Linked DNA regions of Struthio camelus. The protein of the gene in region 2 interacts with the protein of the main gene of each other region in a biochemical or structural test. Links are inferred from orthologs where the notes say so. Each region holds a gene or a part of one and is shown on either strand. Other genes may lie near its edges.

Region 1 (7,102 bases), on a different chromosome or scaffold from region 2:
GGAACCAGGATTGTTGTTGAAATTCTGTCGGTGTTAGTACAAAGACACAAGGAAAAGGTGTCAACTTTCAGATTGTAATTAAGTTCACTGTTGCCAGGCATTAAGAACTTTTCTAGAACGTTTGTTAATAATGCATCGTGCATCTGGGAAGCTACCAAAGAAACAGCAGGCATTGTAGAATCCCTGCATGTTCTTCCAGTTGCCCACGTACAGATCAAAAAGCTATCTCACTCAATCTATGTCCTTTCCACTGCCAGACCTGGCTAGTATCTGTTGTCAATGCTCCTTCCTCTGTAACTGTCATGTAAGCTTTCTTTTGTTATGGGAGCTTCTCTTGTATTCCTAATTTTGTTCCAATCCTTTATACAGCTAGTTCTTATTTTACTAGTCTAAATACCTTTAGTGGGACAACTCACATAAAGAGAAATGTGTGCAGAAGGATTTTCAGGATCAGACCTTTACTAGTAGACTTATTGCACTGCTACCTAAAAGCACTGCAGCAATTTCTTAACTGGCTTTATGCATTCTGCCCATGTTGCCTGATAAGTCCTGAGCCTCTCTTGCTGGTTTGTTTTATATTCCCCCCAAAAGCATATTGCCTTTGTTTTGGACATCGTTTTAACTTCCATTTTATCCTGTTGAGCTCAAACAAACAAACAAGATAGAAAACAGTACTGTGATGCAAACTTGTGAAACTCTAATACATGCTTATCACCCACTCAGGTAGCATCATAATTAGTTTTTAAAAAGCCGCTCCCTTAAATTACAGTCATAAATGCAGGTCAGATGCAATGCATCTGACATTCAGTTAGGACCAAAAAGATTGTATAAATGCACATAATTTTGTTTTGGTCATTCTTCAAGGCATAGCTTTTGTTTCCTATGGCTCATCCTTAATACCCTTGCTCAAAGCAAACGGTTGCTAGGATTTTCTTTTGTATTTTTCATCTTTCTTTTGGTACACTCAGCTGTTTGGTATTAACATGCTTTCCTGTGAAGCATGAACACTATTTTCCCATTAAACTTTTAAAACATGTATCGGCTGGGATCTAGCAATGCTATATTATACAGCAAAGTTCTGAATATAGAGCCAGTGGGGGAAAAAAAGCATCATTAATAAATCCATTCCAAACAGAACATCTCATAAAGTTTTGCTGTATCTATTGCTGTCAGAAATCAGTTAGGCACTCTAAAATTATTTTAGTGTACTGCTTATATGCCCTCACAACACTCTGTTCACTTAGATGGGGTTACTTCCATTTACTCACACGAGATAGATTGAAAAACCCCAAGCACATTCAAAGGTGTTTTAAATTTCCCTTTACAAAAGCACATCAATTTTACATGCATCTTTGTCTTCTGCATCAGTCCCACAGTGATTTGTCCTCTGGGCTATAAAACCGATCCTGCTATGACACTGCTGTGCAGCTTACCCCAACAGCTTGTTCTGTTACTTAACATCTGTGAGCACGGTATTTGCCTGCCGTGTTTTCAGTTGCAGGAGCAACTGCATTAGATTCAGTCACGAGTACAGTGAGAGATTTAATCAGCAGCCCAGTTGGTTATGGCTATTCTGATTTTCTGTATCACTTGTTCCTGTAAAACCTCAGGGTGTTACATGGAAACGTCTGGCCACTTTCCATTTGCAGAGCAGTATTTTCTCTTTTGGTGCAAGGAGGTAAAGCTGGTAACTTTTCTTGGTTGACTGGTCTCCTCGGGCTGCGCTAATGAAGCTGCATGTCTGCCATCAGACGCGATACTTCAGTTCATCACCAAAGCCTTACTCTCTGGAGGGTTTTATACAGACAGAGATCAGGTGCGTTTGCACTCCAGCGTTTGACTGGGCTGGGAGTTACACGCAGCACATGCGGACATACGTGGGTAGGGTATCACTGTAAATCGATGGCTGTGTAGAAGACCATCCATCTTCTTTTGACTTCATTTCCCCTGCTGTCCCGCGACCTCTGTTCCTCTTAATCCATTAAAACAAAACCCACCGCAGTCGGCCTCGTTTATACATCAGCAGGCACGAGTGAAAAGGAGATGGAAGCGGGACCCTGCCATATATTCCTAATTTTCCCAGCAGGTTTCCCGTGTGTGGGTGAGTCCTTAGGAAGGCCGGCAGGCAGGGTGGGAGGGAGGAAGGCAGGCTGGGAGGGAGGAAGAGAGGGAGGGAGGCAGGGAGGAAGTCAGGGAAGGAGGGAGGGCAGGCAGGGAGCCAGGCCCCGCCGGGAGCGCGCAGCGGCCGCTGGGGGGCGACCCCGCGCCGCCGGGCCGAGCCGAGCCGGGCCGAGCCGGGCCGGGCCGGGCCGAGCCGAGCCGGGCCGGGCCGGGCCGGGCCGGGCGGAGGTCGGTGCCGCCTCGCCGCGGCGGCGGCGCCTTGTGCCGGGCAGCTGCCAAGTGCCCCCGCCGGCACCGCGGCACGCGGAGGTGCATTTCGGAGGGGGGGGGGAAGGAAATAAAAGAAAAAACCCCCTCAGTGCAGTCTAAAATCCCCCACACGCCCCGGGGCACAGCTGAGCTCTGCACGGGTCTCGCCGCCTGTGCGGTGCCGGCAGCGCCCGGGCGTCCCGGCGGGGCAGCGCTCAGCCGGCGCAGCAAACACGGTTTGGGCACGACGGGTGAGCGTGTGCAGCAAGCGTGGGCTGACCCTGAGCGTGGAGATTCAGAAGGGAGCGCGCGTTGCCTGCATCCCTTGGACAAAATAATCTCCCATTCCCAGCTTCATTCCTGCGCTGCTTTTCTTCTAGGTACAGTGTAGTTTACTTACCAGGTTATCATCTCAAAGTCACCCTCATTCAGATGTTAAGGACACAGACTAGCAGAATTTAACGAACTTCTCCGACTTCTTTTGCTAACGTTCAGCACAGCAAAGTACTGAGTATCTCCTGTTGCCGTTTGACTTGGGTTTAGTCTGGGATTTCTCCCAGTGCCAGCCAGTGCGGCCGCAGCATCAGCATCCCCTGCCCTGCTGCAGGCGGCCGGGGCAGCGCGGGCGGCGGGCGCGCTCTCCCCGCGCTGCGGCTTCACCCGCTCCGAAGCCGGACACCGCTTCTTTGGGCAAACTCCGGCTTCATCCGAGCTCCCAGCCTCTCCTTTCCCTCCTCCTCCTCCAGCTAAAAACCTGAGCCGAGGGACACGCTAGAGCCCTTCCCCTGCCGCCCGTCTCCCGAATTTGACCTCCCAGGCGGCCCGCGGCTGCGCTGCCCGCGGCTGTGCCCGGGGCGCGCCGGCAGGCAGGTGCGCGGGTCCCGCGCTCCGCGCTGCCGCCGCCCAGGAGGGGGCTGCGCGGAGGCGGCCCCGGCCTCGCTCCGCGAGCCGCGCCGAAGCCCCCGGGCCATTTTTTATTTTTTTCCTAAAGATCTTTTTTTTTTTTCCTATTCCCTCCCCCTCCCCTTATTTATTTATTTATTTATTATTTTTAAATAAATCCATGCAGCTGCAGCAGCCTCCCCGGCCCCGGGAGCCACCCGCGGCGCTGCCTCCCTCCCTCCCTCCCTCCCTCCCTCCCTCCGCGAGGGACGCGGCGGCAGCGCTGTCAGCGCCCCCCGCGGCCCGACCGCCGCCGCCGCCGCCAGCCGGGCAGGGCCCCTCCGCCCCCCTTTCCGTGCCTATTTTCAACCCCCCCCCCCCGCCACCCCAATTCCCCCCCTTTTCGTGAATGAAGCGCGAGGCGGGGCTCTGGGCAGGCGTCGCGTCGCGCCGGCCGGGGCCTCCCCCGGGCTCCGCCCCGCCGCCCCCGCCCCGCCCCGGCCCCGGCCCGGCCCCGGCCCCGGCCCGGCCCCGGCCCGCTCCCCCCGCGCCGCCGCCGCTGCCGCCGCCGCCGCCGCCGGCAGAGCTCCCCGCCCGCGCCCGCCGCCGCCGCCGCCGCCGCTCGGAGCCGCCCGGAGCCGCCGGCAGCACCGCGGAGCGCCCGGAGGAGCCGCCCGGAGCCGGCGGGGCTGCGCGGTGCGGCGCGGTGCGGCGCGGAGCGGAGCGGGCGGGCAGCGGCGCCGCGGCCGCGGTAACCCCCTCGGCACCGGTCAGCGCGCACACGCGCCCCCGTCCGCGCCCCGCCTCGGCAGCGCCAGGGGCTCTTCCTCCTTTGATACAAAAGCTGCTCGGGAAATGGCATTTCTCCCCGGAGCCGCACTCAAACGCAATTTTCTTTTTTCTTTTTGGTTTTGTCCTTTTTCTTGCGCTCTTTTTTGCAAAAAAATATTAATTGCCTAATTTTTTCTTTTTTTTCTTCCTTTTTTTTTTTTTTTTGTCGTGTGCGTGTGTGTGTGTGGAAGCGCTGGGCTCCTGCGATCAGTGTCTGAATGAAACTACGTAAATGCATATGTCTGTACGTTGCACTGGAGGGAAAAACGGAGCACTTCTGCGAGAGCTTGGATTCAAATGTGTGTTTCATCTGGTCTTCAAGATTTGTGGTCTCTTTGGGGTTGTTCGCCTTCCTGGGCTCCGAGGCGGGATTTTCTGAGCTTTGACATATCTTTGGAGATGCCTGTTAAACAGGAGTCTGGGAAAAAACATTTGAAATTATAGTGATTTTTTTTTGTCCCTTTCCCGTGACTTGAAGCATCAGAGCGGCCAGAACCTAACGTTTCTGAAGACTTGTGATGTTTGGGTTTTGTTGTTGCTATTTTTTTTTTTAGAGGAAACTTGACAGAGGAACATATTTATAGTCCAAGTAAGTACTTTACAGAGGAAATTTACTTTGTGTAACTTAAAAAAGCAGTGTTGAGATTTCTAGCTTAAAGTGCATTGGATTAACGTTCATCCAAGGCCGTTTAGCAAATCATATTGAATTGCAGTTTTTACGGTGTATGTTCGTCCGCTCCTTCATGTACGTGGTAGTTCAGCACCTAGGGGAAAATGCACCTGATTTTGCCTAAGTATGATATTTTTTAACGTGTATTTCAACACCAAGGAGGAAATGTTTCTAAAGTAAATATATAGTAAGTAATAAATGTGCATCTGGAAGTAAAATATTTACAGCGTTTTAATCCCTATTTATACCGTGCATCTCAAACCGCGGAGGAAACACTGAGAAGACGAAAGTACCTCCAAGACCCTGAGAACTCCCCTGCATCACCATGAATGAAACCGTGCCCGATACAATAACTGGATTATAAATTTTCGTGTTATTAATTTTATTATCATTGGCTGCTTTACTTTTTTGGGTTCATCCTGCTCCTCTTCTTCCTCTCTCCCTTCCTCTTGCTGCTGCCTCGTGGAAATTATGGCTCATCCGGGGAGAAGAGGCTACGATAACCGGGAGATAGTGCTGAAGTACATCCATTACAAACTCTCGCAGAGGGGATACGACTGGGTGGCCAGTGGCGACCGGGCGCCAGCGTCTCCAGGGCTCTCTCCTCCTGCTGCTGCTGCTCTTGCTGCTGCTGGGACTTCCTCTGATCACACTGGGCTGGTGTCTCCGCACCCCGAGCCCCCCGGCTCGGCTGCTGCTAGTAATGCGGCTCCGGGCGACGGGCTGCGCCCCGCGCCGCCGGTGGTCCACCTCGTCCTGCGCCAAGCCGGCGACGAGTTCTCCCGCCGCTACCAGAGGGACTTTGCCCAAATGTCCGGCCAGCTGCACCTGACGCCCTTCACGGCCAGGGGCCGCTTCGTGGCGGTGGTGGAGGAGCTCTTCCGAGACGGGGTCAACTGGGGGAGGATCGTGGCCTTCTTCGAGTTCGGCGGCGTCATGTGCGTGGAGAGCGTCAACCGGGAGATGTCCCCCCTGGTGGACAGCATTGCCACCTGGATGACCGAGTACCTGAACCGGCACCTGCATAATTGGATCCAGGACAACGGAGGCTGGGTACGTGCCCCGCGATTTCCTTCCCTCGCGGAGGGCTGGGCCCCGGGGTGGCGCGCGTTGGGGGTGCCCACGCAGAGGAGCAGGGAGGCGCTCGAGTCGGGGGGAGCAAAAGGCTGGTGCGTAGGCCCGTCGCCAGCTCCTCTGTCGCTGAGCGTCACCTCGCTGTGGGGTTATGGCGAAGTTGGTTTTGGGGTGAGAGCAGCCACAGCTCCCTCCTGCATTGCTGCGAGGATGAGCGAGCCGCCCCCTCCGGCCGAGTCCTCCGCTCTCCTTCCCCCTTTGGGTGCCCCCGGTGGGGGCTGCCGCAGCCGTGGCTCTCGCCACGCGCCAGGCAATATTTCGGGCTCGGGCAGGGGTCCAGAGCAGCCTGGGATGAGTGGCAGCCTCGCCTGCCCAGAGGTAATGCCATGGGCAGGCGCACGGAGGCGACGGGACGACGGCCGCGTGCCTGCGTCCCAGCGGGCTGGGGGGACGCGCTTAACGTGCGAGGGGACACGGTGCTAAAGGCAGTCGAAGGAAACAACGGCCGGATGATCCTCAGTGCCGGTGTTCATAGCTGCGGTGGCAATCGGAGCGGGATTTTGCAGCGTGTATCTGGTGTGAAAGTCCTGTCTTTGTCTCGCCGCCAAACAAAGGTGCCAGGGGATGGGTAGGGGACTCGTCTGGGGCATTGTTCTGGAGAAATTACTATTTGCAGTGATCTGGCACGTTTCAAAGTGAAATGATCTTGTATTTCCAGAGTAGAAATCACTTCTGGCTGGGGTTAGTTTTAGCATTATCCAGAAAGGGAGGATTTCCACTTGCGGAAAATGGACAGCTTTTATACTTTTGGTCAATCGGAGTCTTTTTCTGTCTCTGTCTCTGTCTCTCCAAAATAAATAACCACGTTTGATTGGAAGGGGTTTTCTTTCTGTTTTCCTGTGTTAATTGATCTATTGTAACAAAATGTGATCCCTCAAACCGAATGTGTTGCATGCATAAGGCTTGTCATATTACTGTATTAGAAGGAAGAAACAGCAAAAGTTATCCTGAAGAAGAAACTTTATGTATGGGCTGAGACCTACACTAAGTCACTTAAAATGGAGATATGGTAGGTCAGAGATTGGTAACTTCAGGTTCTGACTGCTATGAAATACAATCAGTGAGCTAAATCAGTTAAAGAGCACACCTTTAAGGGGTGCATGTAAAGGAATGTAAAATACCGTACACGGTTCCCAGTTAACATGGTTGGTAAGCCCTGTGTCTGTGAAGTGTCATCACGTTAAATTTTCAGCATTTGGTCTCTTCCTAAGTTAG
Region 2 (7,688 bases):
CCCCGAGCCAAGTGCCGGGAGCGTCGCTCCTGCCTCCGGAAAGCTGACACCCGCCTCGCCGACGGCGTTTAAAAATACCCGCGCGGGTGCCCGCAGCCCCCGGGAGCGGGGCTGCCCCGGCCGGGCCGCCCGCGTCCCACCTCTCCCGCGGTCCCCAAAGAGGCTTCGGCCAGCCGGGACCCACCGCGCCGGGGTCTGCAAGGCGCCTGGGGTCTCTCCGCCACCGAGACGGGCCAGGAGCTCGGAGGGCGCGAGCTCTGGACGTGCCCAGCGGCAGCCCTGGCCCCGAGCCCCCGGGCAAGGGATCAGCCACCTGCGGCCGCCCACGGCACGCTCGGCCTCACCGGCAGCTCTGCAAATGCTCCGGCTGTAAATCACCGCCGGCGGTCAGTTCGCCCCGGGGCGGCGTTCGCCGAGCGCCCGCCGGGCACCGTTCCCGTTTGCTTAGTCCAACGCGTTGGTGCTTCCCGGCTCGCTCCCGTGCCCGCAGCACCATGCGGAATTACACCCCCTGCCCCCCGCGCTAAAATCCCACGCCGGGGATGCACCAGCCAGCTACGTTACTTGCAGGCGCTGCATGAAGGGCTGCGTGCGGGAGGAGGACGCCTGCGCTGGCGGGCACCCCTGGCACCGGGCCCGGCGGTGCGGGGGGATGCTGCCGGCGCCCGGCCGCTGCTGCACCTGCTGCGTGGCAGGGCCAAAAACGCCTGCAAGGGGGCTTGTCCGGGCGGCGATGCCCCCGCGGCGCCACGTCCTGGGCGATTGCCTGCAGCAAGGTCCGGGGTGCCCCCGGCGTGGCCGTAGCCCCGCGGCAATGCCCCCGGTGCAGCACCCGCGGTGCCCCACCGCAGCCGTCCCCCCGCAGCCCCGGGGTCAGGGTGCAGGGTACCCCGCCAAGGCAGGAGGTGATGCCACCTTTGGGGTCACCTCCGGTCCCCCGTGCACCCCGGCTGTGCCGCCTGCCCCAGTGCCCGACCTGCTGCCTGGTACCAACCCGGCTGCTGCAGCTGGGGGCGGCGGGGGGGTTCCCGTGCCCTGGGGGTACCCGCAGCCCGGCCCCGACAGGCGCCCGCCCCGGTGGCGGCTCCTGCCAGCCCCAGTGCCCCGGGGCGGCACTGAGCGCCGCGGCGGCGGCTGCCCGGCCCCCCCCCGGTGCCTCCCGCCCATGCAGTGCCCCGGCCCCCCCCGGTGTCCCCGGGACACCCCGCCCGTGCAGCGCCCCGCCCCCCCCGGGACACCCCGCCCGTGCAGCGCCCCGGCCCCCCCCCCGGGACACCCCACCCGTGCAGCGCCCCGGCCCCCCCCCGGGACACCCCGCCCGTGCAGTGCCCCGGCCCCCCCCCCGGTGTCCCCGGGACACCCCGCCCGTGCAGCGCCCCGCCCCCCCCGGGACACCCCGCCCGTGCAGCGCCCCGGCCCCCCCCCCCGGACACCCCGCCCGTGCAGCGCCCCGGCCCCCCCCCCGGGACACCCCACCCGTGCAGCGCCCCGGCCCCCCCCCCCGGGACACCCCGCCCGTGCAGCGCCCCGGCCCCCCCCCCGGGACACCCCGCCCGTGCAGCGCCCCGGCCCCCCCCCCGGGACACCCCGCCCGTGCAGCGCCCCGGCCCCCCCCCCGGGACACCCCACCCGTGCAGCGCCCCGGCCCCCCCCCCCGGGACACCCCGCCCGTGCAGCGCCCCGGCCCCCCCCCCCGGGACACCCCGCCCGTGCAGTGCCGCCGCACGCCACCCGCTCTGCCGCGGCCCCGGCGTCTCCGGGTCGGGGAACCCCGCGCCCCTCGCCCGGCGCCCGCTCCCCCCGCTGCACCTCGCACCCCCCCGCTGCACATCGTCCGGTGCCCGCTCCCCCCAGCGCCTTGCACCCCCCCGGTGCACATCGTCCGGTGCCCGCTCCCCCCGGTGCCTCGCACCCCCCCGGCACCTTGCACCCCCCCGCTGCATCTCGCACGGCGCCCGCTCCCCCCGGCACCTCGCACGGTGTCCGGTGCACCTCGTCCGGTGCCCGCTCCCCCCGGCACCTTGCACCCCCCCGGTGCGCCTCGCACGGCGCCCGCTCCCCCCGGCACCTCGCACCCCCCCGGTGCACCTCGTCCGGTGCCCGCTGCCCCCGGTACCTCGCACCCCCCCGGTGCGCATCGTCCGGCGCCCGCTCCCCCCGGCACCTCGCACCCCCCCGGTGCGCATCGTCCGGCGCCCGCTCCCCCCGGCACCTCGCACCCCCCCGGTGCACCTCGCCCGGCGCCCGCTCCCCCCGGTGCACCGTGCACCTCGCACCCCCCCGGTGCACCTCGCCCGGCGCCCGCTCCCCCCGGTGCACCGTGCACCTCGCACCCCCCCCCTCCCCCGCCCGGTGCACCCTGCCCGGCGCCCCCGCCCCGCGATGCTCCGTACCGTACCCGGTGCCGGTACCCGCTGCCGCGCGCCCGCCGGGGCTCGCCGGCCCCCGCCACTACTTTCTCTTAAGGGCTCGGTGACGCAGGCGGCGGGGGCGGGGCGGCGCGCGGGGGCCCCGTGACGCACGCGCGCGCCCCATAGAAGGCGCGGCGGGGCGGGGCGGTTCCGGCGGCGGGGGCGGGGCGGCGCGCGCGGGGGGCCGCGGCCCGTGACGCACGCGGGGTTCCATTGACGCAGGCCCCGCGGCGGCGCCTATAAATAGCGCCGCGGCCCCCGGCTAAAAATAGCACGGGCGCCCCCCCCCTTCCTCCTTCCCCCCCCCCCCCCCCCCGGGGCCTCCCGGGGAATCGGCATCCCCGTGCACCCCCCCCCCCCCCCCCGCTCCCAGTGCCCTCCTGCTTCCAGTATGCCCAGTACCCCCCCACCCCGATTCCAGTATGCCCAGGGCCCCCCACCCCTGGCTGGTGCTGGTATGCCCGGGTCCCTCCTGCACTGGGGTCCCCAGTCCCTGCTGGTGCTGGTATCCCCAGGGCCAGTACTCCCAGTCCTCCCCAGTGTCAGTATCCCCAGTGTCTTCCAAGTACCCCCAGTCGTCCCCCCAGTACCAGTATCCCCAGTGCCATTACCTCCAGCTCCTCCCAGTCCCCCCAGTGCCATTACCTCCAGCTCCTCCCAGTCCTCCCCAGTACCACTATCCCCAGTCCCCCCCAGTGCCATTACCTCCAGCTCCTCCCAGTCCTCCCCAGTACCACTATCCCCAGTCCCCCCCAGTGCCATTACCTCCAGCTCCTCCCAGTCCTCCCCAGTACCACTATCCCCAGTCCCCCCCAGTGCCATTACCTCCAGCTCCTCCCAGTCCTCCCCAGTACCACTATCCCCAGTCCCCCCCAGTGCCATTACCTCCAGCTCCTCCCAGTCCTCCCCAGTACCACTATCCCCAGTCCCCCCCAGTGCCATTACCTCCAGCTCCTCCCAGTCCTCCCCAGTACCTCTATCCCCAGTGCCCTCCCAGTGCCAGACCCCCCCATTGCTCCCCCAGTGCCCTCCCGGTGCTGGTTCCTGCGGTGCTGGGGCCCCGGGGCTCCACCCTGGGGCCAGTTCCCACGGTGCCGGTGCCCTGGCCCCCCCCCCCCGGTGCCCGTGCCCTCCTGGGGCCGGTTCCCGCGGTGCCGGCGCTCTGCCCCCCCCGTGCCGGTTCCCGCGGTGCCGGCGCCCCGGTGCCCCCCCAGGGATCCCCCGGGGCTCCCCGCGGTGCCCCCCCAACACCCGGCACGTCCCCCCGGGGGCCCCCGCGTCCTCCCCGCCCCGGTCACCTCCCTCCGCCCGGCCCCGGCCCGGCGAGTCCGGCAGACAGAACTGGGGATTTCAGGGCCAGAAATAAACGTCGCTGATAAGTCAGCGGCTGGAAAGATTTATGCATTTTCCTATTGTTAAAATATTTTTAGCCGGGGCTCTGGAGTTGTTTAAGCGCTCACGTTCAGAAAAGCAACTGCGTAACGAGCTGCGTTTTTATTACATGTTTGTGCCGAGTTCCTGGCAGGCCTCCCGGGACGCGGGGCCGGGAAGGCGCTCGCCGCCTGCGCCCGGGCGCCCCGGCCCCTCCGAGGGCGAGGGGGAAAAGCGGCCGGGCCGGAGGCGAGCGGAGAGGCCTGCGACGGGCAGCGGCGAAAGGGGGCCCGGGGCAGCGCATCCGCCGGGACGCGCCCCGGCCTCCGCCAGGAAACCAGCCGGCGCTTTGGAAAGATGAGCTCGGACGTGGGTGAATCCCGCGCCGGCGGGCCCCGAAAGGGCGAGCCGGGAGGGACGGGGCTCGGCGGGGGCCTGGGGGTGCTCAGCGAGGGGGACGCAGCGGTGCGGAGCCCGGGCGGCTTCGGGAGCCGGGTCCCGGCACGGCTCAGCCTGCGCCCGCCCGGCCCCCGCGGCCCCGGGCGGCACCGACCCGCTCCGGCAGCTTCGCTGGCCGAAAGCCGCGGGTGCCGGCTGCGGCACGGCCTGCCCGGGTGCGGGGCCAGCTGGGGCAGGGCTGCACGGGGCGATCGCCCCCAGGCAGTGCCACCCCCCCCCGGCAATGCCACCTCTGGGCAATGCCACCCCCTGGCAATGCCACCTCCCAGCAATGCCACCTCCTAGCAATGCCACCCCCCAGCAATGCCACCTCGGGGCAATGTCAACCCCTGGCAATGCCACCTCCCAGCAATGCCACCTCGGGGCAATGCCACCCCCTGGCAATGCCAGCCCCCAGCAGTGCCACCTCGGGGCAATGCCACCCCCCTGCAATGCCACCTCGGGGCAATGTCAACCCCTGGCAATGCCACCTCCCAGCAATGCCACCTCGGGGCAATGCCACCCCCTGGCAATGCCAGCCCCCAGCAGTGCCACCTCGGGGCAATGCCACCCCCCTGCAATGCCACCTCTGGGCAACGCCGGGGAGCAGGAGCGGCCGCCTGGCCGGCTGCCGCGGGGGGCCGGAGGGGCAGGCGGTGGCACCGGGCAGGCTGGGCCGGCGAGCGCGTTGGCTGGTCCCTCCGCAGCCCCCCCGGGGCACCTCCGACTGCCCCCAGGGCCTGCCGGGGGGACGGGCACTGGACCCGAGCTGCGGCCCCCGGGGGGGCGACAAGCTGGGCTGGCGCAGGGTGACGCGGGGCCCCAGCAGCAGCGCTTTGTGCAGCACCCTGCACCGGGGCAGTGCCACCCTCGCCCTGCCCGGTGGCAGGGGCCAGGCCGGGGCTGGCAATGCTGCGGTGGCCCCGCGGGCACAGAGACACCCACCGGGAGGACCGCAGCCCTGCATGGAGGTGTCACCGAGGTGTCACCGGGGTGGCACCCCCGCGGGCCCGCTGCGGGCACGGAGGGGAGCAGGACACCCTGACCTGCAAGGAGCGCAGCGCTGGAGGGGCCTGGGGCTCACAGCCACCGGTGGGTGCACGGTCACCAGAGGGTGCACGGTGACTGTGAGGGTGCACGGCCACGGGGAGCCCAGGGTCACCAGAAGGGTGCACGGCCACGGGGACCCCATGCTCATCGAGGGTGCATGGTGACCAGGAGGGTGCACGGTCACCGGGGGGTGCACGGTCACCGGGAGGGTGCACAGCTACTGGGAACCCACAGTGAGCGGGAGGGTGCACGGTCACCGGGGGGGTGCACAGTGACCGGGAGGATGCACAGCCACCGGGAGCCCACGGTCACCAGGAGGGTGCACGGTCACCGGGGGGTGCACGGCCACCGGGAGGGTGCACGGTCACCGGGAGGGTGCACGGTCACCGGGGGTGCACGGTCACCGGGGGGTGCACGGTGACCAGGAGGGTGCACGGTCACCGGGGGGGTGCACGGCCACCGAGAGGGTGCACGGTGACCAGGAGGGTGCACGGTCACCGGGAGGGTGCACGGTCACCGGGGGTGCACGGTCACCGGGGGGTGCACGGTGACCAGGAGGGTGCACGGCCACCGGGAGGGTGCACGGTCACCGGGGGGTGCACGGCCACCGAGAGGGTGCACGGTGACCAGGAGGGTGCACGGTCACCGGGGGGTGCACGGTGACCGGGGCCAGGCGGTGCCGCCGCCCCCTCCCCGCCGCCCGTTACCTCGCTGCTCCCGGCCCCGCCGCCGCCGCCGCCGCGCTGACCCATCCGCGCGCCGCCGCCCGCCGGGGGAGGAGGAGGAGGAGGAGGAGGAGGAGGGGGGGGGGAGGCCGTGACGTCACGCCGGGCCGCTGACGTCCCCGGAATCCCGGCGGCATCCCGGGGAGCGGGCGCGCGCGGGGATGCCCCGGGCCGGCGGCAGCGGGGGCTCCGCCGGTGCAGCCCCGGGCCGTCACCGCCGCGGCCTCCCCGGCTGGGCTGGCGCTGCCCGGGCCCCCGGCAAGCGGCCCCGATTAACGGGAGCCGGTGACTCCGGGCCACCCCGTTGCCCGCAGAGCCGGACGCGGAGCGGGACGGATGAGCCCATCCGGCCGACGCGCGAGGGCCGGCGGGCGCCGAGGGCGCACGGGGACCCCCGGCAGCCCGCGGGGCCCCAATTACCTGCGGTGTAATTAAAGGCGGCCGGCGGGTGATTACAGGCCGCCCGCACCGGAGCCGGCCTATATTTGTCGGTAATGACAGGCTGGCGCGGCCGGGGCGTTGCAGCGGGCGCCCGGCCGCGTCTCGGCACGCGGTGCCTGGCCGCCCCGGGGCCCCCCGTGCCACCGCCAGGCTCGGCCTGTGGCTAAAAATAGCCCGGTGGCGGGTGGCACCTGCTGCGGGGAGGTCCCATGACAGGGTGGCGCGGACGGGGTGCCCCGGCGCTGGCAGCGGGCGCTGGCGAGCCGGGCTGCGCGAGCGCGGCTCTCACCCATACCATAAATGTCCAAGCACGGAGTCATGCTGGAACGGGGACAAGGCATGAGAGCGGCGCGGAGCTGGCCTGGCCCCGCGCACACCCCCCGGCAGCAGGCACGCAGCCGCGCAGCACGCGCCCGCGCTCGCAGCCTGCACGCCTGCGGACGTCGCCCCGCGGCACGCGTGCCTGCACACACGGCCCTGCAGCACGCGTGCCTGCACACGCAGCCCTGCATGTACGGGCGCATGCAGTCCTGCGGCACGCAGCCCTGCAGCACTTGCATGCACACGCAGCCCTGCAGTGCACAGATGCACACGCACAGGCAGCCCCGCAGCACGCTCATGCACACACAGCCCTGCAGTGCACAGATGCACACGCACAGGCAGCCCCGCAGCACGCTCATGCACACATGGCCCTGCAGTGCACAGATGCACACGCACAGGCAGCCCTGCAGCACGCTCATGCACACATGGCCCTGCAGTGCACAGATGCACTCGTGCAAGCAGCCCTGCAGCACGCTCATGCACACACAGCCCTGCTGCACACACGTGCACAAGCAGCCCTGCAGCATGCTCATGCACACGCAGCCCTGCTGCACACACGTGCACAAGCAGCCCTGCAGCACGCTCATGCACACACAGCCCTGCTGCACACACGTGCACAAGCAGCCCTGCAGCATGCTCATGCACTCACAGCCCTGCAGTGCACCCACACATGCACCCACACAGCCCTGCAGCACGCTCATGCACTCACAGCCCTGCAGTGCACCCACACATGCACCCACACAGCCCTGCAGCACGCTCATGCACACGCAGCCCTGCAGCATGCTCATGCACATGCAGCCCTGTGGCACGCACACACAGCCCTGCAGTGCGTGCGTGCACACACACACATGCATGCACATGTGTATGAGCCCTCGCTGTTGTATGAGCACACACGCACGCACACAGCAGCGCGCCCGCCCCCCTGCAGCAC

Evidence for each region.
Region 1: the proteins of NR4A1 (region 2) and BCL2 form a complex in vitro, tested with the Homo sapiens proteins (2 studies listed by BioGRID). The link is inferred for Struthio camelus from reciprocal best matches to the Homo sapiens genes NR4A1 and BCL2.

What each region holds. Positions count from the first base shown.
Region 1 is NC_090943.1:92,680,085-92,687,186, reverse strand, and holds the start of BCL2 (apoptosis regulator Bcl-2), read left to right. Parts: upstream 1-4,004; 5' UTR 4,005-5,224; coding exon 5,225-5,806; intron 5,807-7,102. UniProt on the Homo sapiens protein: Suppresses apoptosis in a variety of cell systems including factor-dependent lymphohematopoietic and neural cells. Regulates cell death by controlling the mitochondrial membrane permeability. Appears to function in a feedback loop system with caspases.
Region 2 is NC_090969.1:1,118,398-1,126,085, forward strand, and holds the start of NR4A1 (nuclear receptor subfamily 4immunitygroup A member 1), read right to left. Parts: upstream 3,077-7,688; 5' UTR 3,057-3,076; intron 2,438-3,056; exon of another isoform or gene 2,394-2,437; intron 1-2,393. UniProt on the Homo sapiens protein: Orphan nuclear receptor. Binds the NGFI-B response element (NBRE) 5'-AAAGGTCA-3'. Binds 9-cis-retinoic acid outside of its ligand-binding (NR LBD) domain.